3 linked regions of the Caenorhabditis elegans genome follow. The protein of the gene in region 3 interacts with the protein of the main gene of each other region in a pairwise test. Each region holds a gene or a part of one and is shown on either strand. Other genes may lie near its edges. The genes, in order: blmp-1, hlh-25 and tbx-9.

The links.
Region 1: the proteins of tbx-9 (region 3) and blmp-1 interact in a two-hybrid assay, tested with the Caenorhabditis elegans proteins (one large-scale study listed by BioGRID).
Region 2: the proteins of tbx-9 (region 3) and hlh-25 interact in a two-hybrid assay, tested with the Caenorhabditis elegans proteins (one large-scale study listed by BioGRID).

What each region holds. Positions count from the first base shown.
Region 1 is NC_003279.8:10,403,269-10,413,709, reverse strand, and holds the start of blmp-1 (B lymphocyte-induced maturation protein 1 homolog), read right to left. Parts: upstream 4,409-10,441; 5' UTR 4,352-4,408; coding exon 4,174-4,351; intron 3,841-4,173; coding exon 3,746-3,840; intron 3,485-3,745; coding exon 2,617-3,484; intron 2,107-2,616; coding exon 1,760-2,106; intron 1,378-1,759; coding exon 1,283-1,377; intron 1,233-1,282; coding exon 764-1,232; intron 349-763; coding exon 301-348; intron 218-300; coding exon 1-217. UniProt on the Caenorhabditis elegans protein: Transcription factor which binds to enhancer elements in the promoter region of genes. Regulates the expression of the transcription factor bed-3 to control vulval development.
Region 2 is NC_003280.10:5,528,825-5,539,265, reverse strand, and holds hlh-25 (Helix-loop-helix protein 25), read right to left. Parts: upstream 4,028-10,441; 5' UTR 4,027-4,027; coding exon 3,869-4,026; intron 3,813-3,868; coding exon 3,582-3,812; intron 3,535-3,581; coding exon 3,117-3,534; 3' UTR 2,861-3,116; downstream 1-2,860. Other genes in the region: C17C3.11 (Protein kinase domain-containing protein), read right to left, coding at 856-1,103, 1,148-1,220, 1,267-1,431; hlh-26 (Helix-loop-helix protein 26), read left to right, coding at 5,544-5,692, 5,754-5,960, 6,011-6,287; C17C3.9 (Coiled-coil domain-containing protein), read left to right, coding at 7,012-7,059, 7,155-7,208, 7,255-7,350, 7,397-7,474, 7,659-7,792, 7,841-7,868; ZK177.1 (uncharacterized protein), read right to left, coding at 9,997-10,412. UniProt on the Caenorhabditis elegans protein: Probable transcription factor. Modulates lifespan and also recovery from the developmentally arrested larval state known as dauer, perhaps acting upstream of phosphatase PTEN/daf-18.
Region 3 is NC_003281.10:10,337,085-10,347,525, forward strand, and holds tbx-9 (T-box transcription factor tbx-9), read right to left. Parts: upstream 4,775-10,441; 5' UTR 4,768-4,774; coding exon 4,475-4,767; intron 4,050-4,474; coding exon 3,974-4,049; intron 3,917-3,973; coding exon 3,764-3,916; intron 3,338-3,763; coding exon 2,981-3,337; 3' UTR 2,922-2,980; downstream 1-2,921. Other genes in the region: ttr-15 (Transthyretin-like protein 15), read left to right, coding at 789-933, 1,919-2,166. UniProt on the Caenorhabditis elegans protein: Transcription factor. Involved in the control of early morphogenesis of the intestine, hypodermis and body-wall muscle. Involved in regulating expression of vab-7. Appears to have partially redundant function to tbx-8.

The sequences.
Region 1 (10,441 bases), on a different chromosome or scaffold from region 3:
GTGGAATACCTCCTCCATTCTGCATTCCACTATGATCCATTTGGAAATGTTGTGGAGGTGGTGGTGGCCCCTGAAGATGGGATCCTTGTCCCATATGTCCCATTGTGTTTCCATACATCATGTGTTGCTGCTGTTGAGATGTTGGTGGTGGAGCCTGTTGTTCTTGCATTCCACTTGGACCTTGACCGAGGAGGGAGGCGTTGGGAAGATTGTATTTCTGAAAATTGTAGGATGAGAATGGGAAAGTGAGATAAGAAATATTTATTTGTATGCATGATGAAGCCGAATATAAAAGCTTACACTATAAATGGTTTCGATTGGCATAAGTGGCCGCTTGAGTTCGGAGTTCTGAAAGCAGTGAAAATGTAAGCAGAAGCAAAGCTGTTGTTAGTAATTTACTTGATTTCTTCTAAAGCTCGAAAACTAAAACTCGAGCAAAAAAATTTATTCACGACCGTATTTCTTCTATTAGTCTTGCGCCCACTTACTCTACTTTGACATCTCATATCTCGGTCCACTAAAGATATTTTTCCAAATGTTTCACAAATTCAATATTTTCTCAGTTAGAAATTTTTCGATAAAACCATAGGCAACTAAGATATGAACTTACAAAGTTAGGAAAAGTGGGTCAATACTATTAGAGGAAACGTTGTCGACTTAAACTTGGACAGTATTAAAAATTTGATCAACTTTTTAAAACTTAGTTTCCATTTTGTAAAAAACGGCGGAACATGTATAACTCGATATAATCTTCATTACTTACCAGTGTATTTTCAAAGATTCCCAGATTTCCATAACCCGACCCTGACATTGATCCTTCATCGATTTCGCCTTTGATATCCATTAAATCATCCCTCATCGAGTCTTTCATATCCTCTTCTTTACATGTAGTTGTTTTCCAATGAGTTCTCAATCCACTCGGTGAAATATATTTCTTTCCACATGTTCCACAACTATACGGTCTTTCGTTTGCATGCAGACGTTTATGAAGTCTTAGATGAACGTATTGAGTGAACTTGGCATCACAAACATCACACGTATACGGCTTCTGACCATTGTGAAGTCGAAGATGAGTTTTTAAATTAGAAGTCGACGAGAATCGCTTATCACAAATATCACAGCGATGAGGACGTTCTCCGGTATGAACAAGATGATGCTTCTGAAGATGAGCAAGCTGTGTGAACTCTTTTGTGCAAATTTCACATTTGAATGGACGTTCGCCGGTGTGCGTTCTGAAATGTTGAAAGTAAAAAAATAATTGGAAAATAAGAAAAGTTCTAACCTGACATGAACTTTAAGATTCGAAAGCTGTCCGAATGTTTTGTTGCAGTCTTTGCAAGCGTATCTCGTTTTTCCATTTTCCTGTTGTTGCACGTACTGAAAAATTTTAATTTAAATTTATTTTCATGTAGAAAATATGAAAAGGAATAACTAGACATTTTACCAGGTCTAGGCGTGTGAATCGCCCTCCTTGCGCCCTGATTTGAAAAAGATTTACAAAAAAGCACCCGGTAATCAATTGATTTATGTATCAAAACTTTGCTAATTTTATTGGGATCAACATAGAAAAGGTAGAGATAAAAGGTAGAGATAAATAGAGGCAGGGTCAAAAATTATAAAAAATATATAATTTAAAAAAATTAAAAAATCTAGTATTAAACATTTAAATATCAACTGTTTTTTAAAAAGAATGTTTCAAAATATTTTCCCATCAACCATCAAGTTCAACAAATTAAAAATCTTCTTTGGTAAAACTTACATTTGGAACTCCATTAAATGATGAATCATTGTGTGATGAAGACGAATGATTAACAAATGGAAGTTGATGAAATGAAGAAGTATGGGCACTTCCACCCATTCCAAATCCTCCACCCATACCACCACCACCTCCGAATGCTGGAGACGCAGATGTGTACAGAGGTTTTGATAGCTCATGCTGGAAATCTTGACTCCCATAAATTGCTGCATAGTTTCCAAAATGAGCTCCTGCAGTTGCTGCAAGTACTGGCTGCACATCAATCGGCTGGCCGGATCTTCCACCAGTGGCAGTTATTGCGGCTGTTGTTTGAGCAACAGGGGACACAAACATTGAGGTATCAACTAGTTCTGAAATAGGGTTCAATTGTTTTCAGGACTTTTTAGGACGCCCCAGTTTGTTTTTAACTTAGCAGTTAACAGTAAGCTATAAAATTATGAATAAACATACAACATGTATTTTGAAAACTTTTCCGTTGATAAAACCACATCCGCACGGGATAAAAGCTGCCGAAAATCCGAAAACAGGTAGATCACTAATTAAAAAGTATAGTAAAGCATAAACAATTTGATAATTTAATTGATTGAGGAAACAATTTTAACAAACTGAAAATATTGTTAAACTTAAGTTGATGTGTTAAAAACAAAAAAAAAGTATACAAATGTATCTTGTTTGTCGACAGAAGCTTAATCCCCATCAAGGACATATGGCGTTTTTAGCTGTTTCTGATAAGTTTTGTTAACAAAATGTTAAGCAACTTTTTGCATCTCCAGTGAAAAAAACTTCAAAAAAAAGTGTTACATTTTCAAAATTTTCAATTTCAGCTTATCAGAGATTCAGAGTGGGATTAATAAACTCACTTAATTGAAGGGATTTCCTCATGAACTCTTTAAAATCCACCAACGGACTTGCATAAAAATTGCCAAGTCGAACGGGTATTCCCGGGAAATTATTGACTTTGGTTGCAACAGGCCTCACAACTGGATTCTGGATAACATTAGGCCGTGTGACTTCTGCAACAGGCCGTGTACAGCTCTCCTGCTCTTCAACATCAATCATTTCTTCGTCACTTGCAGAAGAAGCATCAGTAGAGAGTGTATCAATGGGTGATTCAATGAGTTTTTTAACTGAATAATCAATTGCCACAATTGTTTCTGCTAAACTCGCAATTGCAGTTGATGCAGAAGCTGGTGGTGCAGATGGAATCAGTTGAGTAGCTGGCCTTCGAACTCTTACGTATGGTCTTGTTGAATAATTTAATTTCCTTGCGTAGTCCCTGCTGAACCAAAATGATAATTCAGTATTTGCTTCAATCTTTTTAACTGTGTAAAAGTAGATATCATTTCCAATTTGTGCAGCAACAAGATTCTGAAAATCTTCCTCTTCAGCAGCTGCCACGTATTTCATCCAATTTGATCTCGCATCATCTTTCACACAAATCGTTTTATTCAATCTGCCACCTGATGGAGAATAGATCTTCCACTCTTCCGGAGCTTCATCAAATGGAACATCTTCTTGAGCTGGACCACCTCCAGCCATTGATGCTTCAGCAGGACATACAAGTGCTGTGTCAACATCTACCAAACGAATTTCTCCAACGAGCGGGCCAAATCGGACTCCTCTCGGAATATGATCAGATGACCATATTGACGATTTCTTTCGATTTTTTGAGGAGGACTTGAGAATTAGGTTCATAGGAAGTGTGCATTCTGCTCGCTTTGGATTTGGCTGAAAATAAATGGAATTAAAATTGAAATGGTTTTTTTCGATGTATATTAACTTTCTCATACTATTTTTGTAGTCCTGGCAAAAAAACGGTCGGCAAAAAAGCAACTTTTTAGTGCACATCTCAAACTTTCTATGGAACGTTTTGAACTTTCCAAATTTCTAGAGAACTTTTTGTTCCAAAACCATTTTTTTAGAGAAATATACATGTAGGCAGGCAGGCTCGGTTTTTAAAACTTTATAGACTATAAAATACGAACTCACCAAACTAACAGATTTGTCTGGAACATGAAATATACATAATTCGGCAAGATTCTCATCTCCCGACTGCTTCCAATCAGTTTCAACGTTTCTCGCACCTGAAATTAAAATGTTCATTGTATAAAATGACAGCTTCACAGTTTTTTCTTTCGGTTTAAATTTTGAAGTGATTGTTTTTTTTGTTTTCACTTTCATTTGTTCTTTTTTATATGGTGTCCACGTCTAGTTCAAGAGGGAAAAGAACATTTTGATGATAAGTGATAGCGCGGCGATGATAAGCTTGGCGGCATTGAAATTTGATAAGAAATCCGAAAAGGAAAAAAAAGAAGTGGAGGGAAGAAAAACGAATTTGGCTGATTCGATTTCTTCGCAAATGTAGATCACGGATGGCTGCCAAGGGGGCCGAGTTACAGTATCCTATCACAACTTACCTGACGCTGAAACTCCGGCAGGTGACGTGGATGATGGCGGTGTGGAAGATGATGACGTGGCAGATGAAGCAGAAGAAACGCCGACAGAAAGGGGAGAATGAGGTGGTGAGTGAGCTGCCGCAGCAGCCGAAGAGAACGGTGCCGGCGGAACACCGTCATCCCCACTTCCTTGACCCATTTTTTACAGGTTTTGTTTAAAATGAGATCGAAGGAAAAGAGAAGAGAGATTTATTTTCTGAAATTGAAAACATGATTCTGGTAAAATAAAAATAATTTTTGGCAAAAAGAAAGACAAATTAAAAGTGAACCAATTCAAATAAAAGTTTCAAAACAAGAGCGAGAGAGTAATAGAGCACGGAGAGGGAAAAGGCGAGGGCGAGAATCAGGAAAACGGCGCCGAAATTGTCAAAAAGACCTTGATAAGGAAGAACTCGAAGAATTGGGGTGAAATAGCTGGGTGACCGAGGAGAGTGCAGAGTTAAGAAGAGCAAAAAGGGAAAGTTGGTGATTACGGTAGGTGGGTTAGATGATGGGAGGTTGTGCAATAATAGATTAATGTTTTTTTTAAAGGAGGAACTTATTAAGGCGTCCGGGATGTGCGCCTGCCTACCTATCTTCAATACTGCCTACTGAAAAAGTCAACAAGAACTGAACGAAAACCTAAATTACAGAATATAAGAGGTAGACAGGCATAAGTCAGGCGTCAACGTCTCAAGAAAAATCTGAAGAGGCAGTAGTTCAATAGCTCAATTTTTTTCAATTCCAAGTTAATTTCAGAGTTGAGCTTCTGAATTGAAACTTTTTTAAGATGTCAAGGGAATACGGTATGCATATTGTCGATCCAACAAGTAACCTCGTTGCTCAACTTTCGCGGCTTATATCTCGGTTCTCTTTAGTTGTATCAAAAAACTGTCAACTATAAAAACATTTGCGGACTAATTTTCAATATTTCTGCAGTTGTGCAATTTCGGATATCTAAACAAAAAACCAAGATATTAGCTGAAAAGGTGAGCAGTCCGATTTAATACTAATATAGGGAATACCCTTAAAGACGGACTATGACTTGTGGGGATTTTGCATCAAATTGCTTTAGATACTCCCAATAATTCGTATTAAACAATAAAAACTAAAACAATTGGCTAAGTTTGAAAAAACTTAATTTTTTAATTTCAAGCCTACGGGAGTTGCTCAGGAATATGTGCCGGAGAACTGAAAACCAAACAAGTTCATTTGAAGATTGTTTTAATATTTCAGAAAAATTCAAGCTTGTTCACATAATTTTTGTTCATAAACCTCGAAAATTCCCATCACCGCGGGCACAAATTCCAGAGCTTGTATAAAAAACCTAAATTGGCAACTTTCAAAAAAAGTGACGGGTGAGAAAAAAAAGTTAAAAGTTTAGAAGAAAAAGAGCGAGGCGGGGTCAGATCTGTTTGTCTTTTTCATTTGAAACACGTGTGATTCAGAATTCAGAAAAGGAGCCGACAACTTTCAAACAAAAAAATGTGGGGATTTGGGAAAAGAATACGGTAGCTTGGCAAATATGAAATCAAATTTGAAATGTACTAAAAAAATTGTAAAGGAAGATCGTTCATAAAAAGGAGGAGATGAATAATAAGAGTTTGTACAAAAGGGGGAAAAGCGAGAAAATAGCTGCTGCTACTACTGTTGGATGGGACGAATTGGAAGCAAAGAGAGTGAGAGAATGGATTACGGTAGAAAAGGATAATAAATAGTATTGAAATTTCAGAGATGCAGAGTCACGGTCAGTCATGACGCCGCCCGAGAATTGTCGCTCGCGCGCGCGCAACGACCATTCATCCATGGATTCGGATTCGACGGTGGTCTTCTTCTCTTCCGAAGAGTGTGAGGTATGGCTGTACACAGCAAAGAGAGATCACTGATTGAAGAGAGGATCAGAGAATCAGAGAAAGGGACCGGTTTCCCCCCATTTGTTCGCGCACTCTCTTGCATAATGGACGCTGCTGGACGACGACGACGACGACACAGAGAGGCTTCTTCTTCCCCTTGAACCTGTTCTTGCATATCGGGCCTGTAGAGATCCGCCAAAGTGATTCGAGGAGAGGATCGTCTCTTTTAGCCAATGTTTGTTGGAAGAAGGAGAAAAGAAGGGAACGCGCCGTCGGAGAGGGGGCAAAAGCTTTTGGTTTCTTTTGGCATTCGAATGGCTATTAGGGAAATTGAAAGGCCTGAAGCAGAGAGAAGGGAAATGTGTACGGTTTTAGAAACTGAACATTCAAAACAAAACAGCTTTGCGTGGTGGAAATGGCAGGGTTTACTTGAATTAGATTTCTAGATACTGTACTTAACTCGATCCAGAATCTGGTAAAAGGGATGCAATTCGGAACTTCAAAGACATTCGTCAGGTGAATGATAATACCAGTTTCAGAGTTTTTGGTTGATGTCATAATTTGTAGCTGACCAGAAAGGAATCTTTAGAATTGTGACGGCATAATAAATTACCACGAAAGTCGTGAATTTTTCTAAGGTTCTAGGAGCAAAAAGTGCTGTCAATTTATGGATTAGATCGAAAATGTTTTGGCAGGATGTCTTAAATTTTGTTACTCTGAAACGATGCTTGTAAGATGTAAGGTGTCACCGTCGTGCTCCAATACTATAGATCGGTGATAAAACCAACCAATGTCAGGCAAGAAAAAAAAATGTCTCAGATATCCTAACTTTAAGTTCCATAACTTTTCCACGTCACCTGGAGTGCATAACTACCTGATGTCTACTTGCTTGCGCGCCTGCCTACCGCTTATTTTAATTCTTAACTCCGGATTTCGTTGTTTGGACAATGTGAATTCACTCATTAATTAATTATTGGAATAAAAGTGCACATAGTTTGGCAGTAGGCATGGGTGGGTCGCCGTGAAGACAGATATTTAGTTAATAGGCATCACCGAGACTAAATGGAACGTATTTCTGAAATTTCTCAAATCCTTGAACAAACAATCCCAAATTCAATCAATTATTGCTGCCTGTGTCAAGGAAATTCTCATTAAATTTCTTCAAATTGACAGGTCTCTCTCCCTCATTCAATAATTATTATAACACCTTCTTCTTCCTGCCCTCATCATCCTGAGAATCTCATCTTCATTTCGTTTTTATTTTCCTTTTCTTTCCTTCACCTTCTTTCTTTAGGGCACTGGCTGCTGCTGTTCAACACAATTTTTGGGGGTCAAGTTGTTGTACAATGTCTTTTCTCTCTCGAAGATCTTCTACAACAACTACTACGTCTTCTTCTTCTTCTCATGGGTGGTAAAAGAATCGCAATGGAAAACTGCGGAAAAGAAATCGGTATATGAGAGAGAGAGAGAGGTGGAGCGCGCGCACCGACCTGTACCGACTGGTACGAAGGTGAAATCGCCCGAAAAGCGAATACGAGAATCATTGGAGGAGGAGGAGGAAATTGGAGAGAGAAGGTCGTCTCACCGCAATTTTACAGCTATCAATTTTTTTTGCAAAAAAATCCTGTGAGATCCAGATGAATTTCAGGCTTCACCTCGACAGCTGAAAGGGTGAGAGAAGGGAAACTGAAGAGGCGAACGAACGCAGACGTCGATGATCTTGTAGGTAGACAGGCATGCCTTGAAGCTTTGCATAAGACTTTTCAAATAATTTGTTAATGGCTTCAATGGGTTATAAATTGAAATTTTCAATAATTTTTAATTTCGAGAATGTTGAAAATAAGGGCACAAAAAATAACCACAAAACAGAAATTGACAAAACTTTGCTCATATTTCGAGAATTGAAATTACTGTTTTTTTTCATTTCTAATTATTGCAAAACAAAATAGTGGTTTTTATAGCAATAAATAAATTCATTGGGAAAAGTCAGAGTTCCACCTATACCTGCCTCGTACCTACAACTGGTGAAGTACACCAAAATTATAATCTAGGCAGGCTAAGGCAGAAACAGACGCCTGTGCCTATTTATCACAAAAGCCAAAAAACACTAAGAATCCCAATAGGAGTGTGACATTTAAGAAAAAGAATTCAGAAAGAAAAGTGTAACGTTTGCGAGTACAAATTAATGGCAACAGACAGTTTAGTTTACAGATTGGAACGTCACAAACCGTCTGTATCTTCTTTTTCTTTTTATTGAGTATTTGTAACCTTCTTTTCCAAAAATTAAAAAAAAACTCTATTTGATGGCAGAAAATCTGAGCGTGTCGAGATAAAGTGATAAAAGTGATAAAAAAAAGTGCGATGAAAAGTGATGGAATTCCCATGAAACAAGAAGATCCAGTCTTAAAAAGAAAGTCTCTCTTACTCACTCCCGCATTTCACTATCACTATGAAAATCGAAAAATAAAAATTCATTCGGATCTGATTAAACGGCATCTAAACATCGGGAAAATAGGAGAAAGGATTCGAGAAAGGAAAAGGAAAAATCAAAGAGAGATCCAAGAAAAAGGGAAAGATTTTCGATATTGGAGGTGAAGAAGAGAAAGAGGTAATCGGTTGAAAGAGGAGGAGGAGATGGCCTTCAGAAGAATTGGACGACGAGAAAGAGAGTATGAGAGTGGATACTACTACAAACCGTACCTGCGCATTATTGTTCTGTATGTTAAAATTGGGGAAAAGAGAATTCAGAGAATGAGATTATAAGAATTTGTAAGAGGAATAGACAAATACACAAATGATTGCGAACAGCTATTCATAAAAGTTTCTAGTACTAACTTTATATACCTTAAACATCGCTTTTCATTAAACTAAATCCCTGTCAAAATAAGACATTCCGGCGGGTCGAGGTGTGCCAAATTTTTGCTATTTTTAGTATAACTGAAACATTAATTTCTGGTGTATTTTTGATAAGCACGGAAAAATAAAACACTGTTTGTACTTTCAACGTAAGGCTAAGTCAAAGCCTAAGCCTAAACCTAAGCCTAAGCTTAAGCCTATGCCTAAGCCTAAGACTAAGCCTACGCCCAATCCTAAGCCTAGCCTCAGCCTAAGCCTAAGCTTAAGCCTGAGCATAAGCCTAATAGTAAGCCAAATTCCTCTTTAAAAATCTACTGAAGTTCAGTTTTATGAAGTTCAATCCGTATTGTAATTTACTAACTTTCTTCGGATATTTTTCAGTACCTATATAAAAAACCTGTAATCGAAGAGTTAATATTGTCGTAAAGGTGATACTATTCGTACTTATTCTGATTTTATCAGCATTTCATATTCTTCAAAAGGCGTTTTCCAGGCGGAAGGCAGGCGGGAATGAGAGAAGGTAATTTTAGTTTCGGTATCAAATGTATAAATGTAGTCTGATTACATCAATCCGACATTTAGGTCAACTTTCCATCTTTACTTTACTTCCTAAATTCGTGCGTGAGAGAATCAGACATCAACAATTTATTTTTGTTACTTCAGATTAGGAACTATGTTCAATTTTATTCAACAAATGAAGCCAAGCTGTGAACATTCCTATTTTAAATGTTTGGTTCTCATCATATTATGAACCGAACACCAAAACAATCGAAAACGAGACGAGAGGCCCAGACGAACGTAGATCAAATTGACCTTGGCGCCATCGACCCGGGACCTCCTTCACCATCTCTACTTCTCTATTTCTCTCTCAATTTCTCTCTCAATTCAAATCTACTGGCAACTAGGTCATTCGGAATACAAAACAACTCTCCCGCAACGAAAAGAATAAGATGAGAGGGGATACCTCACGCATGTGCCAATTTGATGGACGATGACAACGACAGAATTGAGGAAAAAAGTGGATGGAAAAAACCTTAGACGGTTTTCGTATATGACGAAACCTAAGGGAATGAGGTCAAATATTCATGTCGGTGAAGTTTAAAACAGGGATTTATTCAATACCGATTCTTGAGACTTTGGGAGGTTATTTAGCATAATTAGGAGCGAATGAATCTTATCGAAAAATAGTTTTTAAAAGTTATTGAAATGTATTTCTTCTGACGTTGTAATTTTTTTGAGTGAAAAACCAAAATATGTGGAATTTTGGTTTACTGCACACTGCTCCACGTCCACCATCACGCGGACACACTTTTCTAGGCCGGTCTAGGCCTATTTTCACACAAGAAATGTCATTTATCTTTGTACAAAGATTTAAAAACCATTATCCGAAAAGCTTGCCCTTTCTAAAGTACCCAATCAAGTTTTCCTATTCTCCAATCTTTTATTTCTCAATTTAATTAAAAACTGATAAAATTCGTTTCACTGATCACCTATTATGGATCAGAAGTGTTGGTAAATCAATAATTTATTGTTGTTTTAAT
Region 2 (10,441 bases), on a different chromosome or scaffold from region 3:
CTGAGCAATTTTTCGAAAATCTTCATTGTCTATATTGCGTTTTTGATTCATTTTTTTATCTTTCTATGGCCAATATTCCCGAACTTTTTCATCCCATCGCGTCGCAATCTATTTTTGAAGATTTTTTACTACTCACGTGATAGTCTTGTCTAAATTATTCTGTTTGAAAATGAATGTTTATTCGGTAAAATTTGTTAGCCAGAATACAAGCAAGACAAGTATGTATAATCAAAGTTCCATTAGTCCACACCAAATTCCATCTCCCAGTCATACGGAAACTCTTCAATGTCCTTGTCTAGCATCACTTTTTGCAGTGTTGTATAGATCATCTCATAATCGGGCTCCTTGAAGAACGAAAGACTGTCGATATAGCTGGAAATGGAAAATTACGAATAAATCAGCTTTGGTAGAGACTCACTTCATAATCAAGCGAAATTCATCTGGGCAGCCAGCAAGGAATTGGCCCATGATCGGTTGGAAGCGGGAATTCTTCTTCATCGCACCAATCTCGCCAATCTCATTTACATTTTTCCAGGGAAGAGCTGCATTGGTGAAATCGACGAGCATGTAGAACCTAGAAAAACACATTTTCTCAAATAAAAACTATTATTCTTATTTTCAATTCTAAGTGATAACCCAATCTGGCCTTCTGGCATCTTTACAGAATATATCACATAAATGACTAGTTCTTAAATTGATTAAACTAGCCAGCTTTCCAAATCGTCCTTCAGTCCATGTTCCGCCGTATTATGTGATGCAAGCGGTGCATATCGAGGGCTTCCACGAAATGGCACAGTTTTTCTTGGCTCGAGCATCAAATTTTCGCGATCTACATACTTTCGGCAACATCCGAATCTAAGAACAAAAATGTTGCGAAGCTCGCCTTGGCTTGCTCTTCCGAGATAGAAGTTGCCAGGGTTCACATCTCTGTCCAAGAACCCACTCCAATGCAAATCTTCCAATGCTTCCAAGCATTGAAACGATGCCCCAATCGCAGAGCCCAAATGTCAAATGACCATCAGGCCCAGTCTTTATAGCATCTTGCAGGGATTTCCCAAGAAGCTTCATGACAATATAGTTAAAGTTGTCATGGCGTCCCTTGTCTGAAAGATGGGGTTACGGTTACCTACAAAAGTGTACTACATACCAATGAGAGTAGGCATGTGGCTGGGCGACTTCTCAGATACCTTTGTCATCACACAAAGCTCAATTCTCAGCGACTAAAAATAACATTTTCTGCTTAATGGTTCGACAGTATTAACTCACATATATCTCCTTGGTATTCAACTGAGCCTTCAAAACATGCTCCTCTCCAGCATCATCTCGCACAGCATACACTGCTCCGAATTCACCATCTTCAAGTTTCTTGAAAACCTTGTAACGACGAACTCTATAGTCAATACTTAGCTGAATAACGGGAGCCTCCGTCATCTCGTGACGAGAATAGATTTGAAAATAAATTATTTATGGATTTTCGGAAAATATTGATCTTGTCGTTGACGAACTTTTTTAAACACAACGTTATCACATCTTTGAAGTCCACGTTCAAAAAAAGTTTTTCTTGTTTTTTTCTGCAATAAAATTAACTTCATAAACTAGAAAAGGAGATTTTCAAAAATCCGGACTGTTGATTCAAAATTATTTCAAATTGTTTTTATTCTGATATATATATATATATATATAATATAAATTAACACAATTCTAATATCCCCTTTACATTCTCAACCAAAATTTCCTATAAAAAGGGGAAACTCACGCCCATAACATGGCCAAATAATTGTTTGTCCATCTACGGGTCTCGCAGCGAAAATCAAAGTTTATTCGGTGTTTTTTATTTATCTTTTTTTTTTGGGAAATTATGAAACTAATTTTTGTTAAAATGATTGCAATTTCCAAAAAAATCAAAATTTCAAATTAAAAAGCTCGAAAAAATAGTTTAAAACTGAACTCCCACTACAAACTGCCCAGCGGAATTTGGAGTCTCGTTTGGCCACGCCCACTCGGTTCCTTGAACTTTAAGTTAATTCAACTTTCTACAGAACATTTTTAGATTTTTTTTCAATTTTGTATTCAAAAATTACACTCAAAAACAAGAGAATTCTATAAAATTGTGAAAAATGAAAAAAAAAAATTCAAACAAACAATTTTTGTCAACTTTTTCAGAAAATTACATAGTTGTCAACTAGCAAATTATAGAGACATTCTAATTATTTTTTCCGAGCTCTAAATACAAAAAGTTACGCAATTTAAAGTTAGAACTAAAGATTTGTTTTTGAACATTTTCAAAAAAACACATCCCCTTTACATTCTCAACCAAAATTTTCTATAAAAAGGGGAAAGCCACGCCCATAAAATGGCAAAATAATTTGTTGTCCATCTACGGGTCTCGCAGCGAAAATCAAAGTTTTTTCGGTTTTATTTATTTATCTTTTTTTGGGAAATTTAGAAACTAATTTTTAAAATGATTGCAATTTCCGAAAAAATTAAATTTTCAAATGATTTAGTAGGGAAGATTATTAATTTTTCAAAAAACCTCAAAAATGACATCCTGTCCCAGCTTCACTGAATATCGGATGTTTCCGGATGATGTCGACAATCTGCTGACCGGCTTCATTTAAGAAAACATCGAAAAGCTTTAATTTTAGAACTTCCCCGTATGGAAAAGTTTATCGCCACTTTTTCAATTTTCCCTATGTGTTTTTTTTCCAGAATGGGACATCCCACAAAACTTTGACGTAAGTTTAAATTTTTTGAATTTTCTGAAGAGCGCACCATTGAATATTCTCTAATACAATACTCAGGTGTAGGTCAATAGGTTTGGTATGTGGCAAGAATGAACAAATTAATGTTGAAATGTGAAAACAAAATTTCAATTTATTAGAATTTGGCTTATCATAAGTATAATACATTTTCAATATATTGGCATTAGATAAACATTCAAAAAGTTTGGTGACATAATGAAACAATGACAAGTTGATATTGTGAATGTGGCATAATTTGAGATTACGGGGATGTGAAAAATATAATGAAAGAAAACCAGGAAAGTTTTGACAGCCTTAGAATAGAGTATAATAAGTTTTTTTTCAGAAATTGTAAATTTGCAGGAGATCGATAGACTAGTTAATTATATCGAGGGTTTCTTCATTTTCTTCCTCGTCACTAGTTTCTGGTGTTAAGATTTGAAGTGATGGAAGAATGAATCGGAGGGGAGCAGAAAATATTGATGGAACGGTGTTGTAGTTTGACAAGACATTGAACTGAGTAGTTGGGATCATTGGAATACATGGAAATGTGAGCAATGGAGAAGTAGATGTTGGGGATTCTTGAACTTCTTGAAACGTCAATCTTGGGAAGAGATCCTTCACTTCCATTCGTGTTTTTGGCTTTTCATTCTCTTTGTTCTCACAAGTAGCAGTTGATTTTCCAGCTAAAAGAGGAAGTATTTGGGGAATTGTTTCTGGATACAGAAGATCGGAATTGTGTTTAATGTAATCAATGATGATTTCTAGAATTGTGATCCGTTCAAGTTTTAATCTGAAAATAATTTTTTGAATTTTTATTAGCCATAATGAAACTCTTACCGTTGCTCGTAACTTCCCATTTGTTTGTTCAAAATGAAGAATTTCAATTCAGCATAACAGTCATCTTGTTTCTTTCTTCGAATCTTTTCACGTTCAGTCTTCACTTTTCTTCTTTCGGATTCAGTATCAAACTTCCGTCTTGTAGATTCGGAGAGGTCATTCGATGAGAAATTAGATTCCAGATTAACTCCAGTCACAAGTTTCACAATTCGGAAGAGAACTACTTCTTGTCTAAAAAATGAATTAGTTTAATAACTATTTTAAGCTAACAGAGTATTTAAACTTACGATATATGTTCTTCTTCTGATTTTTGAACAATCGTCTTGCATTCGTTAATCAACTCGTTTGTAATATTTCTTCTTTTCCGTTCAGAAGCTGATTTTGGAGTTTGATTGTATGGGACGGAACGATAATCGCTCATTGAAGACTGAATAACTTTTGGCATCTGAAATTTAATAATTTTCATTAATTTAAAATCAATAAGAAATGTAGAATTTATAAAAATTCAAGATGAGCCGTTAAAAAGGAATAATTGTGACAAAACAGATAAATGGGACCAAGAAAGCAGCACAAATTGATTTAGTTTAGTGAGATAACTCGTACTGTTTTTCTAGAAGTATACAGTTCACTGAATGCTTTAAAAGTAATTGATCAAAATCAGTACACTTTCCTGATGTTACAATTATCAAAAAGTATACTAAACCAGCAGACCAGTGATCCACTAAGAAAGTAAATGAACAATGAATAAATGGTTACCTTTTATAGTTCCATTATTGTTCAGAGGGTGGAGCTTTGTATCAAGCGTTTGGAGCCATGGGAATTATTCTGAAATCTCTATTTTTACAGTCCCCATCACGGGTTCCCATGGTTCATCAGTGAGGTTCTCATGAGAACGAGTCAGGACATCTCCAGTTTTGCCACGACTGGATATTGATTGGGTACAGCCTGGGAAATTTCGGCGGAGACTGTGAATTGACATTAACCATTTTTATCACTCATTTAATCAGCTTGCCTAATCATTATTTGTCTTTAATTCGCAAAGTTTCCAATATTCAAGATCTGATTCTAATAAAAATTACCAGATTGATGTATATGATAATGCATAGAACATACAACTACCAAATTTTACGGATTCATTCAGTTTATCACTCAAATATGGCAGTTTTTCATTTTCTGAAAATAATAAGCCAGTTTAATTTTAACATATAACCTTACTGATTTTGAGAACTCCGGTTTGCTGGAAATGCTCACACAGCAACAGAAAAAATTCACACCGGATACATGTAGGTGCCAAGTTATAAGAAAAGTGTCACACGCTGAGATGGAAACCTCGTAAATTAAAAATAAATTGAGATTTTTTTAAACTTGGATATTGTTTTTTAAAACATTTCTAGAACAGCTTGATATAAATATTTTAAACTATCATGTAAAGGAAAAATACTATAACCTAATTCATGTATTTGATTATTTGAGTTAATTAATATGCATTTTTATTTTAAATATTCTAAATTCTTCTTTTGTATTATATATTTACATTTTTAAATTCCATCGAGCTCCGATTTTACCAAATATTCATTTCAGGATTATTTTTTCCCACCAATCAATAACTTCGTTCAGGTTGTGACCCTTCGCATTGCTTGGGTTCTCAGGCTGCCACGGCAAGAACTGGAGATGTGGTACTCGATGCACCATGAGAACCACGCGTAATAAAGGTATGGATATCAGATTCCCATGATATTCCAAACGATGAGAATCCCCGCCTATTGAAGAAAAAACTCGAACATATAATGGAAGGTAGTCATTATGTTTTTGCATACTTGAACTGTAAGGTTGGTTCTTTTCAACGTTTTCATAAGTCTTTAATTTGAACTGCCTTTCATATTTTGTAGTCTCCCTATTACGGTTTTTGTCTAATAATCTTTTGTTAACTATTATTATTATATTTCAGATCCTTGACTCATAATGTCTTCCTCTCCAACTTCGTCATCATCTGGGTCCCCTTCTTCACATGGACATCGATCTGAAACAGAAAAACAAAGAAGAGATGATACTAATGATCTGTTGAATGAATTCAAGAAAATCGTTCAAAAATCGGAATCTGAAAAACTTTCGTAAGTTTTCTACTATTTTATTTAAAAAAAAAAAACGTACTCTCAACTAATGTCTATTCAGAAAAGAAGAGGTTCTATTTCGTATTGTGAAATTGTTATCTGGTATTCAACTTCATCACGAATCGTTTTCAACATCGCCTGGACCAATTAGAAGTATTAAAAAGATTAAAAGCGATCGGGAACAAGTTCGCCGAAATAAGAGAGTTGCCGCGTACAGAGAGCTCAGAAAATTTATTGCATTGAATAATTTGAGTAGCTCAGAAGAAATGTAGGTTTTAGATTTTATTGGCCATAAATTAAAAAACACGTATTTTTCAGAGACAAAATGGAGAATTTGAAGGTTCTAGAAATCATCTTTGAAGTGATTCGTGGAAAGTCGATCACATGTACAGTACCTTGCCTACCATTTCCAATACTTCCTTTTCTCCCAGTATTCCCAGTTTATTCGCCATTAGTTTTCAATTCATACAATCAATTTTCACTTTATCCTCCTCACATGCCTACAGTTCAGATTCCTATTGTCCCAAGTTCCAGCTTCGAAATTGACGCTCTGGAAATAGAAGAAAATGAGAAAGATATCGATATTGTTGGCTGAAGAGATTCAGCTGAAAATCGTATTGGTCTCCAATTTTTTTCAACAGTTTTCAACATTATTTAGACATCTTTTGCATCCCGATTCATTGAAAATTAATAAATTTAAAAAAGTAACATCAAGATAATAAATTCAAGTTTAACACACAGCAATATTGAGATTTTCAGCACAGTGTGCATGATAATTTGAACAGATGCGTAGCAATTGGAGAAAAATTATAGAACTGAATTGCGTTCTTACCAGGACTGTGCGGCAACCGAGATTTAAAGAAATTTCGGCAACCGGCAATTGCCAAAGTTGCCGAACGCTGAAAACTTCGGCAGCCAGCAACTTCCGGTTGCCGGAACTTCGGAAACTTTTCGGCAACCAGGTTTCAAAGTTTTTTTTGTCGAAATTAAATTTTTGAGCGTTTTGGAAAAATGTATGGTCGTTTTTTTCGTTTACAGTGAAATTCTAGCTTTTTCAGGCTCTCTGCATGTTTTTTTTTGAGTTACAAAATGTTTGACGTTGATATGGACAGTTGCCAAAGTGCCGAAAAAAGTTCGGCAACCGGCAACTTGGTTTACGAACCCTGAAAAATAAAGAAACTGTGAAAGAAAATTCAAAAAATGTCAGCACAACTATTAAAAATAAACACTTGGAACACGTGTTCAATTTCTTTGAATTGAAAATATAAAAACCATTTAATAAGAAAAATTAGTTTTTCAAGAGAGCTCGACCAACAACAATGGGACGCAAAAAGCGGCTGAAGGTCGAGCGAAAGGCAGTTGCAGAGGTGAGTGAAACATTGTATTTATAATTTTACAGGACTAAATTTCTCATAAAAACTATTATTAAAAGTGTATCTCTTCCTTATCTGATTTTTCGCAGAACCAATCACAAATCTTGACTATGGTGACTATTTCTGAAACGGAAATGGAGAAGGTAATTATTTGATTTTTTTTACATTTGATTCTGAAATCTTGTTCAGGAAAAGACGTATACAGCACTGCAAAAACTGAAATCAGTTTCTAATGATTTGTTCGAAGAATGTCAAAGGGTTTTCGCAAATACTAGCTTTTGCACGGTAAGCGGTAAGCTGCAAAACGTTTTTCAACTTTCAAATGTTACAGGCGGAACTGGAGAATATTGTTGGTTGCTTTGACCGTTATGAGAAGGAAATATCTACAATTCCGGACGAATATCGAACGGTTCGTTTGTTTTATGTTTTTCTTGCACGTTTTTTTTCTCTAGAGTGACTTGGTTTTTGCATTAGAATATTTATACATTTCATTTTTACAAAGTATGCATTGGCTGCCGTGAAGGCACCTGGAATGGGTTGCATGAGCTAATCAGTATTTATATTTGTAAAAAAATTAATTGTTAAATATTCAGCATCCCTGTGTAATCAAATTCCAAAATTGCATTAGAGCATTGTGCAACGTTGTCGCAAAAAAGTTGAACAACACAACTCGCGATGTTGAAACTCAGACCAATTTTCAGTCACCAAGGATTACATGGAGACAAAGGTATGACTTCATGATAACTAGTTATTTTCCATATTTTTTAATTTACAGGTACTGGATGCCATATTTGAACAAATGATCGTTACGGGATAGCATGTGTCGAAAAGAAGGCTTTTTATTTGAACAATTATTTTAGTACCAAAAAATAAACATTTCGAAGATAATTTTTCAATCAATAATAATAATAAAAATGCGAAAGAACAGATAATTTAATTAAACTGCTTGTTTGAAACCACAATTGGAAACAAATTCCAAATTCATACCTGAACTACTAGAAACTATTAGTTGTTCATTAATTTGTGATTTCTTTTTTCTGAAATTCTTTTTTTTAATGTTAACTTCCTCTGTGAGCTTTCGGAAAAAGTAGGAAGATTGGCCCTTTTTCTGTGAAGAATTCGGTGCACGAAAATTGAAAAATAGATAATTTTATTAAAGACGATTAAACTGTTGAACAGCTGCATTGACACGATTATTTTGCAAACAATTTTGACAAATGTTGAAGTTTGGGGGAAATCAAAAGGAAAATTACAAAAAAATTAATAAAAAAACTATAGCTTGCTGGGGCACATTATCTTTTTCACAAACTCCGATGAGCAATTCTGGGTGCAGCAGTCGATGGAGAGATCGTGATCAATTCTGTCGTCTGAAAGTAAAAACTTCAGGCGTACTAAAAACTAAAATAAAATTGGTATCAAAAACGCGGAGATCCTATCTTCTTTACTCCAAAGAACTTCAAATTTTATTTTTAAACTACAGAACATGCCTGGGGCTGGATCTCCACACGCTTGCACTAAAGAAACGATTCTTCTTCCGCAATGTTTTTTGTATGAAAAAACATGGCGGGATCCACGTGTCTTTTGATGGAGGGGCTTATAGAGCTCGATCAAGTTCTCCTCCTTTGAGATTTTTCATCGGGGGTAAAACTAGTTACAGTAATAATGGCGAAGGCGATGCAGACGAGGAGAAAAAGATTCATATTTTCCAGTTGAAATTTGTAATTTCAGCACTCTTCTGCTCTTTTATACAAATTTTTTTCACGAGTCCAAGAACACACTGAAAGGTTAAGGCGGAGTCAGATAATCTTTTCTCAGTGTTTATCTAAAAGGACACATCTAACTTGCTTCAGTGTCATGGAGCTAGAAAGCTAAAAATGGATGCATAAAATTGGATCAAAGTTCAAATACACTAAATATGGGCACTCACAAAACCTCTGGAAACATTAGAGATCAATAAAAACCCCAAAACCCCATGATAACAGTATTTTTTACAAAAATGCGTGCTACAAAAATTGTTTTTGAGAACAAAGTTCGAAATAGAAAATTCATTTTATTTAAATTTTGAAAATGAAAAAGTTGTACTTCCTCGTGGTAGTTGAGACCAAAGTGAAATTCTTCTGTTTCGCACGATTGAAATCTGAACATTTTGAGCAGAGCATTGAATACTTTGAACAAAGTTCTCAGAGTTCGCTTTTCAAAATCATTGCACTTTTATGAAAGTTCACACTTCGGAGCTAAATATATAGAATTTGCACAACTTCCCACAAAACTCAGAATGCCAAAAGTTGGAATTTTCAAACTTTGAATGAACAATGCGGAATTGGAGTGTGGTGTACAACCATTGAAGATTTTTTTAAAGGCTCAAACTCAGTTTGTATTGCTGTAATTTGAACGCGAAGAATTGATGAAATTTCTCAAAGAGTAGGCATTTTTGGAAAACTTGGCAGTTTGTCTAACCGCTTTGACTGAAAATAGAACAATCTAAAATTTCGAGTGTTTTTCGGTCTTGTTGGTTATTTTGGTATAATTAAACTACATCCTCACTGACAATATTCTACTTTTTAAAATTGCATATTATTTATTCGCATTATGAAAAGTTGATACGCATAAAGCTCAACTTGATTAGGAACAATCGATATTATCAGGTAAAACTTATGAGAAGCAAAAATGATTAGGGTTGTTTAAAATACAGATTTAAAGAAAATAAAAAATATAGGGAAACATTCTAGTAGCTCAAAAGATTTGAATTTTTTGAATTAATTTGCGAATTGCAAATAAACCGAAAGAGTGGAAGGCTGGGGGACTCGTACTAAAGCTATTGTAATTTCAAACTAGGTAATAATTTATGAGAAGGAGCATTGCTTCTTCTGATTTGAGAAGAAATGAGAGGTGGAGAATATAAATACTGGATTTTCAATGAGATTCGAGATTCTACTCATATTGGTAGTATTCTTGGATGTAGCCTTGGCTGCTTCCTTGAACATTGTCTTGACTGACAATTTGGACGTTTTCTTGGAAATTTCCGTTGATCTGGATGAATCCTTGGCAAGTTCCCTGATTGGTTCCTTGGTTGGAATAGTTTGGTTGATCAACAAAATACTCGTAGATTCCTTCAGAATCTTCACTTTGCACTTCCTGGATGTTGGTTTGATTAATTGGTCCTTGAGAATATTGCGTATATTGCACGTGCTCCTGATATTGAGGCTGATAAGCTTCAGCCTGAACCATGGTGTATCCCTGATAATTGTAGTTATAGATTTGTGGGGAAGCATGTTGAATGAAACCATTATGACTGTATTGGCTGCTTTGAACAATCTCTTTGTCTGGTTGAGATGTTGATTGGCGACCTGAAAAAGATTGTTTAATTGAATATCAA
Region 3 (10,441 bases):
TTCAATTTGTGTAAATAATTAATTTATGTACAACTCCTTACATTTGAATCTCATTTTTGCTCACTGATTCTCTCATCCTTTGAACTGGAAGAAGTGGGAAAGCTAGGCCACAAATTACGGCTCTCTGTGTCGATTTACGATTTTACTGCAATTTTTTCCGATTGCCTTTTTTTTTGGCCAAACCCTACTTCCGCGTAATATCAACTTTTCCGTGTTCTGTACATTTCGTCAAAAACCCTGAAACCCTAACTTTTCTCGCCGTGGCCTAGCCTCCCGCTTCTCTTCCACATTTCCAAAGTACCCCTGTATCTCAATAATTCATCTTCACTTTAACTGTCTCTTTTCGTGTGGCCTCTTCCAACTCCCCCCAAATTCCTGTACGCGTACGCGACTTTGTATTTATTTTTTTCAAATTGTTTTCTCTCTACAACAACAAAAAAAACGGTTCTTTTATTCAACCCTTTTTTCGGAACGAAACTGCAATTTTGATAATAGGCGTGCGCAAGAGAATCCGGTTTTCATTTTCGCCATCACGTCATCCAAAAAAGTTTAGTAGGAAAATATCATTTTTTAATATAATGATTCATCTTTCTCGCCTCTTCTGTCTCGAGACGACGGTCAATTCGATGGCCTTGAATTTTTCGAAACAAAAATGTTTTTGTTTAGTGTAAACGATCCCCCCGCCTTATCGCTGTTTCACCATCAGATAGGCTCCGCCCATTTTGATTCCCTTGAATTTTGTCGGTATATAAAACAAAAAACGTTAGTGCACGATTCAAAAAACAACAATGCGTGCTTTACTATTCACCTCTGTTGTTCTTTTGGCTTTGGCTTTTGTTGAGGCAAAGAAGCAGACTATCACTGTCAAGGGTACAACTATTTGTAATAAGAAGAGAATTCAGGCGGAGGTTACCCTTTGGGAGAAAGATACTCGTGAGTTTTCAGTCTTGTTTAGCTTGAAACGGCTTAAAAAGGACTAAAAAGGCCTAAAAATTGAAGTTTTCCACCTGTTTTCAAAAGAAAGCCGAATTGCACAGCTTTACACGAGATTTCTCAATAATTTGTATTTGAAATTTTCATATTCATCCCCAAACGTTCTTTACACGAAATTTTGCGATTTTTGAGCTTAAAATACGATACCTGGTCTCGACACGAAACATTTTTGTTAAATTCAAAAAGATGTGCGCCTTTAAAGAGTGCTGTAGTTTGAAACTTCTGTTGTTGCGGACTTTTCATCGATTTTTCGTAGCGTTTTTTTATAAGAAAAATGTATTTATTTATTCAAAAATTTAATTTTACCGAATCGCGAAAAACAAAATGAAGAACACCGATAAAAATATCGCAGCAACAATAGTTTGAAATTACAGTACTCTTTTAAGGCGCACACATTTCCATATTTCACACAAACTTGTCGTGTCGAGACCGGGTATCGTCATTTTGATGCAGAAATCAAGAAAATTGCATATATGTTCAAAAAACCACAATTATGGCGAATTTCAAGCTTGAAACGAAAATTCAGGAAATTCTAAAAATTAAAAAAAAATCATTCGAAATGTGAAATTTGATATTCAACTTGAATGCCATATGGCAAATTTCTGTCTATTCCGCTTTTCGATCATTTTGTTCCACGTGGCCGCGAAAAGAGAAAGCACGACCACTGATTTCTGGCAATTTTTTCCTGTACCGTGTCAATTATTTGAAACTCTAATAAGCTGGTATTTTTCTGCTATTGACAACTAACTGAATCCATAATTTGCAATTATAATATTGACTTTTGATGTGTGGCTTAGAAAAAAAAAACCAAAAACCTCATCTAGCTTTAGGCTGCCAATATATTCCTAGGACATATAAAAAACCCTTAAAATTCTCTGCAACACCTACAAGCTATCAAACGTACTATTAGTATTCAATTTTCCAGTCGACCCCGATGACAAGCTCGCCTCAATGCAATCGAACAAAGAAGGAGAGTTCTCACTTACCGGATCCGACGACGAGATCACCTCAATCTCTCCATACCTCATAATCACCCACAACTGCAACGTGAAGAAGGCCGGATGCAAGCGTGTTTCAGAGTATTTGATTCCAAAGGAGAAGATCGGTGGAACCTATGATATGACATACGTCACTCTTGATATTCTTTCCGCTAAAGACAAGGAGAAGTGCTAAGAAAATGTTTTTTTTGTTTGTTTGCTTGTTTGGAAGGGAAGGACTTTCTATCTCTTTTAATTCAACAATAAACTATTGGAAAACCTTGAAATTTTAACCTTGAACTGTAAGAAAAGTTGCGTGATTATGTTGACAATTTTGCCAAGTATATCTTTGTGGATATCACAATAAACGAAGTCAAAGCACGAAATATTACGGAAACACAAAATTAATGAGAATGCGCAACATATTTGACCGCAAAATATCTCGTAGCGAAAACTACAGTAATTCTTCAAAAGACTACTGTAGCGCTTGTGTCGATTTACGAGCTCGATTTTTGAAATGAATCAGACTAGAAGAAAAGGAGGAAAATATTGAACATCAATTGAACATCAATTCAAAAAGTCGAACCCTTGACTACAGTAGTCTTCTAAAGAATTACTGTAGTTTTCGCTACGAGATATTTTGCGCGTCAAATATGTTGCGCAATACGCATCCTCAGAATTGTGTGTTCTCGTAATGTCTTGAAAATTTTCCATTTCAACATCAAATAAGCAAATCTAAAAATGTGGGTTCTGCAGCGACCACTATGACTGTGATCGTGGCAAGACCCACTCAGAAAACTACGTGTTCCTTTAAACAATACATTTTTAAGTATTGTAGGTATAAAAATTGTTGGCTAGCAGTCTAGGCTGCCTTTTTCAGTCGACAAACTTCTAATTTAATCGGCGGGTCTTCAAAAAGTCGTTTCTTTGAAAATATAAAGCTTTATATATTTATATATTAAAAATTTTGATTACATGATATCAAAAGCGACCAGTTTGCATAAAAATTATCAACCAACAATATCAATATCTTCTTCTACCTCCTGATCCTCCTCCTTCACAATGCTCAGCTCACTGCTCGAGCTGGAAGGAGTCGACGGGAGAGGCGAGAGAAATGGAAAAGCGAATGGAAATTGGACTGGAAGATTTTCAGATAACATATGGGGAAAATAAAAAAGAAATGGGTTGATTGGAGGCATCGACTGAAGAGGTGCGACCTCCGGTGGTGATCTGGATTTTGGCGATGGGGACTGTGAGTTGCTGCCGTCGGAATATGATGGTGATCTTCTCTTGCGACTCAAGTTCCCGTCACGGAAACCTTTGGCAAAACTGTTGTGCTTGATTTTCAAGTCGGTGATTTTTTGGTTCTGAAATGAGGAAAAATTAGGTTTATTATTCAACTCTCTCTATCTTTGAAAACAAAGAATCTATTAAGAAATTGTTAAACACCATATTATGGATCACAAAGCGAGCAATATTTTTGTAGTTGACAACTTTTATATAGCTCTTTTTATTGGCGAGGTAGGAGTGCTTAAAGTAGCGCAGTTTCAAATTTATAAATAGAGCCAAATTTTGAGCAAGTGTAACTCTCCTTCTTTTAACTCTATTAAAAACTTGTCAACTAACTAATTAATCTTTACAACTAGGGTTACAAATTATTAGTTAACGACTTCTTGATAAGTATGATGGTTGACAAGACTTCCCCCTTCCTTCCCAGATTTCCCATTGTTCACAAAATATTGATTCTTCCGAGATAAGATCCATGCGCTAATACTCTTACTCTCAATACTAACCTGGTAAGCCGTTACTGCAATAAACTCGGTATGAGGGAATTTGGCGGTGGCGACGATTTGGTTTGAGGATTGTGGGACGCAGAAAGGGCTCTCCGATGGAGACTCGTAGATTGTCAGCACTGGAATGTACTTGTGCATGCTGTTGAGGTAAATCTGAAATTTCAATTTTAAATTGGAAATTGCCAAGTAATTTTAAAGTTGAAATCCTACCATTGAAGCGTTGTTGGACTCTGAATAGTTGGAGATTTTCACACGATCAAAGCAAATCGAACTCCACATCCAGTCACTGAAATTAATTGGGGTTACTTTGAAGATATAAATTTAGCAAATTTAGAATTATTTTCATCTGAATTATGTTGTCAGTTGACAAACGACAAACTTTGAAAACTTTAATGTTAGATGAGATGTAACCCTCAAAATATTCCAAAGGCATTTGAATGCCAGTGTCGGCAGCTCTAACTCTTCAATGGCTCAAGCTAGAAAAAAGTTGTCAACTGGCAAATTGTAGATGATAAATCAGTTAACAATTTTCCAGTTAACATCTTTTTTAAAACTTCCAAGCCCGCTGAGATATGGCGCTTTGAAGTTGTAATACCAGGGCGGAGCTAAAAAAAGTTGCCAATTGACAAAATGGTTCTCACTATTTTGATAATCATGTCAGTTTACAAATCTTCATAGCTTCTAATCTTCCAATTCCTATGTCACACTCACCTTCCCTTCCGAACTCCATCAGCATGCCACATCTTCTTCGCGTCGACCTGCTTCTCAGCTTTGCCCGTTTCCTGCCACTTTCCACCGCTGAACTTGAATCGACTTTCTCCAACTGGTTGTAATTGGAGCATTATTGCATACAGCTTGTTTTCATCAAGCCCTTCGACTATATATTCCAACTTTGGGAACAACTTTCGGCCGTTCTTCGTGACAATCATCTCGTTGACTTCTGCGTGGAATATCTTCCAGAGAGTTTCTTGGGATCCTTCGATTGATACTTTGACTTTGGACATTTTTTGTCTGAAAACGTTAAAATATATTATGAAAACGAACAGCAAAAAAAAAGTTGGAAAATGGTATAAGATATAATGTTATATTCTCACCGGTTTGGCAGCTACACTTGCTTAGAGTGTGGTACCAGTGAGAAGGAGGAGCGGGAAAACTATTCTAACTTAAAAACGGTGGTATCTAGCAAAAAGTTGTTAACTAACAAAGCAACAATGATAAAATTTGCAATATTTTGTTAGTTGACAACTATTTGGTATCTCTTGCCAGTTTTGAGATAACGTCTGAGATATCCCCGCCGTTCAAAAATAAGAAAACAAAAAAATAGAAAAATAAGAAACACGATAAGATAGAGATGTCATCACAAAAAAATGGTGATTTAAGACAAAGAAGTGAGAAATTGTGCACATCTTCACCCCATCTCACCTCATTGCCAAACCACACCCCTCTGCAAGGGCGGGCAGGTTGTGCGCGTGGCCCTCTCGGCTATCGATTCTGGGAAGACTTGGCGGCTGACTGGTAGATCAAAAGAGTTGGGTATACTTTCAAAACAAAATTGGGAGATCAAATTCTGATGTGGCATAGAAATAGAGAAGACGGTCCGAAAATGTTGGTTTTATGTAAACTTCAAAAAATGTTCAAAATTTAAAGATGATACAACTTCCTTATTAATTAAAGAATTATGCTATGTATACCATGCTTATCGACAGTATGGATTTTGTATATTTTTACTTTGAGATCACTTTTCTCAAGAAAGAATGACAGTAAAAATTAATGTAAACTGAATTTTTTTGTACCATATAAAAACCGAAATTTGAAAAAAATAACTTTATTTAATGTTTCAAAATAAAGATTTTACCATTTTACATTTTCATACCTTCCACAATTACCCATTATTCCATCTTCAAACCCTCCTTCTATTTCCAGATAATATACCATTTCCAAGTATACCCCTTTTTTGTCGGTTACCTCCAAAAGAGCATACGTTGTAAAATTTTTGAGCCGGTTAGTTGTAGTGGGCTCTTTTGATAGAACACCGACAGTATTGACTGGAGGTGTAAAAATTGGTAGCTGAAGGAAAATGGATAAAAGAAAACATTGGTTAACGGATCAAAATTATTTTGCATTTTTAGACATAAAGTGATATTAAAAATTCGAATTTCATAACGAATGTTCTAAAACATTGCTCAAAAATATTAGGAAAAACTCTCCAAATTTTGCAGATCCATTAAAATTTCTGAGCAATTTTTGAGCAAACCTTTTAAGTCTATAAGTCAGGATAATTTTGATATATTCGTCTTCCCAAAAGCTATCAAAAAGATGTCAACTTTCAAAAAAAAACTCAATTTTTTTCCGGGGTCTAACTTTTTTGTGGATGCAGCTATCAAAAATTTGTCAACTAACTGATTGTTCATAATTTCCAGAGCTATATTTTGTCAGTTGGCAACTATTCGGTAAACTCGAAGCTTTTCGAGATAATCGTTTCCCAAATTGTTATCTGAACCCAAATTTCTCCGACCCCATTAGCCCCATTTTCCTAGAAAATAAGACTGATCTCCAAAACACCAAAAAAAAAGCTGTAAAACTTTACTCTTCCCAAAACTCTCCGAGTCGGTGTTTTTACGGGGGGTACCTCTAAATCAGGTGGTCGATAAACATCGTGGCGGATTTATAACCTCCACAATTGTTAGTTGGCGTCAATGGATATACAGGTGATAAGGTTTACAATCACTGATTAGTTGTTCTGAATTTTTTTTTCCCAGGAACACAAAAATTGAGGTTTCCTGCTTTTAAAATGTTTTTAAAAACACTAAAACACTTGTTCAAAAAATTTAAAAATCACATTCCTTCCCTAACAAAATAAAATTTTAAATTTATTAATTCAATTCCATACCTATTAATTAAATGTATATCCTCCTCCACAGGTGCGAACTCCTCGTTGTACGCGTGTCTGCCACGTGGCGGCGAGAACAAAGTGCTGACATTCATTGTTTTGTCTAATTTTGCTGAAAATATCATGTGCAGCTATTTTGGTGTCTATGTCAAACAAAGAAAGTAAGATATGTATCTGTGTTCTCACCTAGAATTGTTTCTTGCTAGAAAGAAATTTTGAGTGGAAATAAAAAATTTCAAATAAAAGTTGTTGCGATAAAAACGAAATAACATTGCGAAAAATGACGTTATTAAAAAGTTGTCATCTACTAACAACATAAAATTCATAAAGTTTCTAACTATTTGTTAATTGACAACTTTTTGATTCAGTTATTGTGAGCTGAGTTATGCGGCATTGAAGCAGAAAAGTCTTAAGAAATCAACTTTGTGTTTTACAGCCTATGCTTTGCCACCCGAAAGTGTTACCCAAAAATTGTCAACTATAAAATAAATAAAGTACATAAATGTTTTAACATATTGTTAGTTGACACTTTTTAGATTAAACTATTGCGAGGAAAGTTATGATCCTTCAAATCAGAGCATCCTTGAAAATTATTTGCTTGCTCAATTGGGTTCTCACGGGCATAACTTGACAATTAGTAACGTTATCAAAAATTGCCAACTAACAGAAAAATGTTTACAATACTTTATAAATTTCATTAGTTCGCAACTTTTTGACACCGCCGCCGCGATACAATGGTTCCACCAAAAGTCCGTATGTACCTCCACTGCTCCGCGAGCACAAAGAGCTTCCGTTCAAATTGCGTGGACTAACTTCTGAAAGTGATCCTACTCCAAATGACGTCATCAGCCGACTCGCGCGTGTGTGTGTTCCTGCCGCTGTAAATTGGAGCAACTGTACGTCTGGCGCACCACGGGCGGTGCGCGTTTTATGTGGTTGCATAATGAAAATACGCTGATCACCACGAAGAGTGAATGGATTAATTTCCTCAGAAGAGAAAACTTTGCCTAGAAATTTTTCTGAACTGGTGCCAAGTTTCACGGCCGTATATGACAGATTTTCGCCCAATCTCCACGGGACCCTAATAAATCAAAGGAGGCCCGATGTCAGTTAGACTTATCACCACTTCCTCTACAGTACCACATCATCTTCAACACTTGTGCAGATCTTAATCACCAAACCAACAAATAGGCCTTTCCTTCTTATATGTCCGGTCGGGAATTGCATCACTGGGCATTGCACGAGAGCCGTGCCCAGATTGATTGACTTGTCTCATCGGAGATTTTATCAAAGGGGTGAATGTTGGGATAAGGTACCTTTCTTGTTGTTAAGAAGACCTTCTTCGTCGAGGTGGCCTAAAAATTACACAGCTCTTCAGCTCGGATTTGCAGTGGAAAATTTTTCACTTTTATGTCCACGTAACGCCTTTTCATGGAGTTGCCCCAAACGAGTGTCACACCTTCCCCGCGGCCGTTAAAGTTCTCTCGGTGGCTTTGAAATTACAAGACTCTTAAATTCCAGCCACCTACCTTCTACAGTTTTAAAAACTTACTAAAATCATAATTTTCCAGATGCTTTTTTTTTCAATTTTTGTGTGTAGAAACATAACTTTACGGCCATGAAACGACACCCCAGGTTTTTAAAGTTGCTAGAATCGCCAGATAATATAAATACGTATGACTCTGAATATCAAGGTTTTTGTCTGATTGTTGCCTGTATATTGTTGCGTGGGATATTCAGAGAGACCAGAAAAACGTAGGCCATTATTGTGCAGGACATGCAACAATTTCAAAATTATCAGCCACCTACAAGCCGACTTACTCCTGCCTCGTGCCTACACGCGTGACTACTGCCTTCAAACCCCCTTAAGCATGCCTAAGAACATCAAAACATGCCTTACAAGATTTATTAGAGATAACCATGTCGGTGGTATTAAAAAGATCACGTCAAACGGAAGAAATAAAGAGAGAAGTCAATCAACGCAACAGCGGGATGCCTCTTCTAATCGGGTTGCATCGCGACATCGGCGATCCGGACAAGGCTGCCGAGTCGCAGCCTAAGCAGAGGTGCTCGTGGAATAAAATTTCTGAAAAAGCCAAGGATATCAGGTGGGCGATTAAAAACCTGCCTGCCCTTATAGGCGATAGGCAGGTATGTAGGCAAACTGAGGAGTTTGCTCCAAAATGCAGAAAGTAGACTATAAGAAGGTTACCTGAAGTCAATACTTAACATTTAATAAACTGAAAATTCTTACAAATGATCTGTCATATTTGAAATCCTGTAAAACATCTCTGAAGCTATTAAATTTTTGCAATTTAAGCTATTAAAATGTTGACCCAAAACTCCCTCCAAAGTTCCCAAAAACTATAACATGTCAAGTACATAAAATGTCCTTCCCTATCCATAACCTAATGATCACCTGTCAATTCTAGTTACCTAACAACATAAAACGCGTACCGCTCTTTCTCCTCCACCCAACAGTGCGCCAGACGGATCCCTTTACAACTCTCTGGTTGGTGATGATGTAATTTGGAGCCGCCGGCTCACCGCAATACTGTCGGAGCACAAAATTCAGGAAAATGATCCTGATTGAGAACATGGTGCATGCATTAACAGATAATTTGTTTTTGAAGGGAAAATCAATAATTATCTGGAGATTAGATATCTTGTTTTTAGAGATAGTTGTAAACAATGGCAAATTGTAAAACCACTTTAGATGAACCTGGAACTTTCGGGAAATCTGGCAACCGAGCTACAAACTACAAACTACAGAAAATCAATCTACAAATGTTTTTTTCAGTCAAGAACCGAGATATCAGTTGCACATGGTGCATCGAACACTAACAAGATTAATCAAAATTTGTCACGTCCAGTATATCCGTAGTAAAAGTGAGAATTAACCTCAATGATTTATCATCCTGCCCGTGTCCTTCTTCCCGTTTATCAATATTACCGTAGTGGTGATGGTGGTGGGGGCATCGAATATCGTCGTAAAATCGTCGTTAAACAAATTTTATGAACTCTATATACAAATCAAGCGTGTTATTATTGTTTGGTAGAAAGATTGGAAAACGATAAAGAGAGGTGAACAGGTTTCCTAAAATATCCCCCCGGAGATTCATTTCTAGCAAGTATTTGGAGAAAGATGAAGAGGGACTGCACAATATTTAAATCGTTGAACCAATAAAATAATAATCACAAACTTGGAGCATTTGGAGCATTCGATGACGATTTTCTAGAAACTGGGGAAGTTATGAGGTTTTTGGATTACATTTTTGATTGGAGTATCATGAACATTTTTTAGAACTCCTTAATAATAATTCTTCAAACGACAAAGAAGTTTCAACCAAAAAATTTGTCAAAAAGTGTTTCTAACAGAAATGAAAGTATGTAGAGAGAAAGTTGGGATAAAGTAGGTTGAGAAGTATCCCACATATCTCAAAAAATATTTGGTTTATCAAAAAGTTGTCAACTGACAAATAGTCGAGCAAAATGTCAATTGAAAATTCCCTCGTATTATTGATTTTTGGGAAGTTACAGCTGTTCAAACTTTTAATTTTGTCTATTTTCACCTTTGAAACTTATTCCTTCACACAATTCCCCTTTTTAGCATCCCGCCAAACATCGAAAAACCACGCCTACCAGTGTTATCGCTACCGTACCCCGCGGTCCGCCTTCGGGAAGGCAGGAGTGGGGCCGTGGCATCCAGGTGAGACCCCAGGCTCACTCTCAGCCACCAATCTGTTTAGTATTCACTTTTACGCGAATTTTCCAATTTACCAATATTT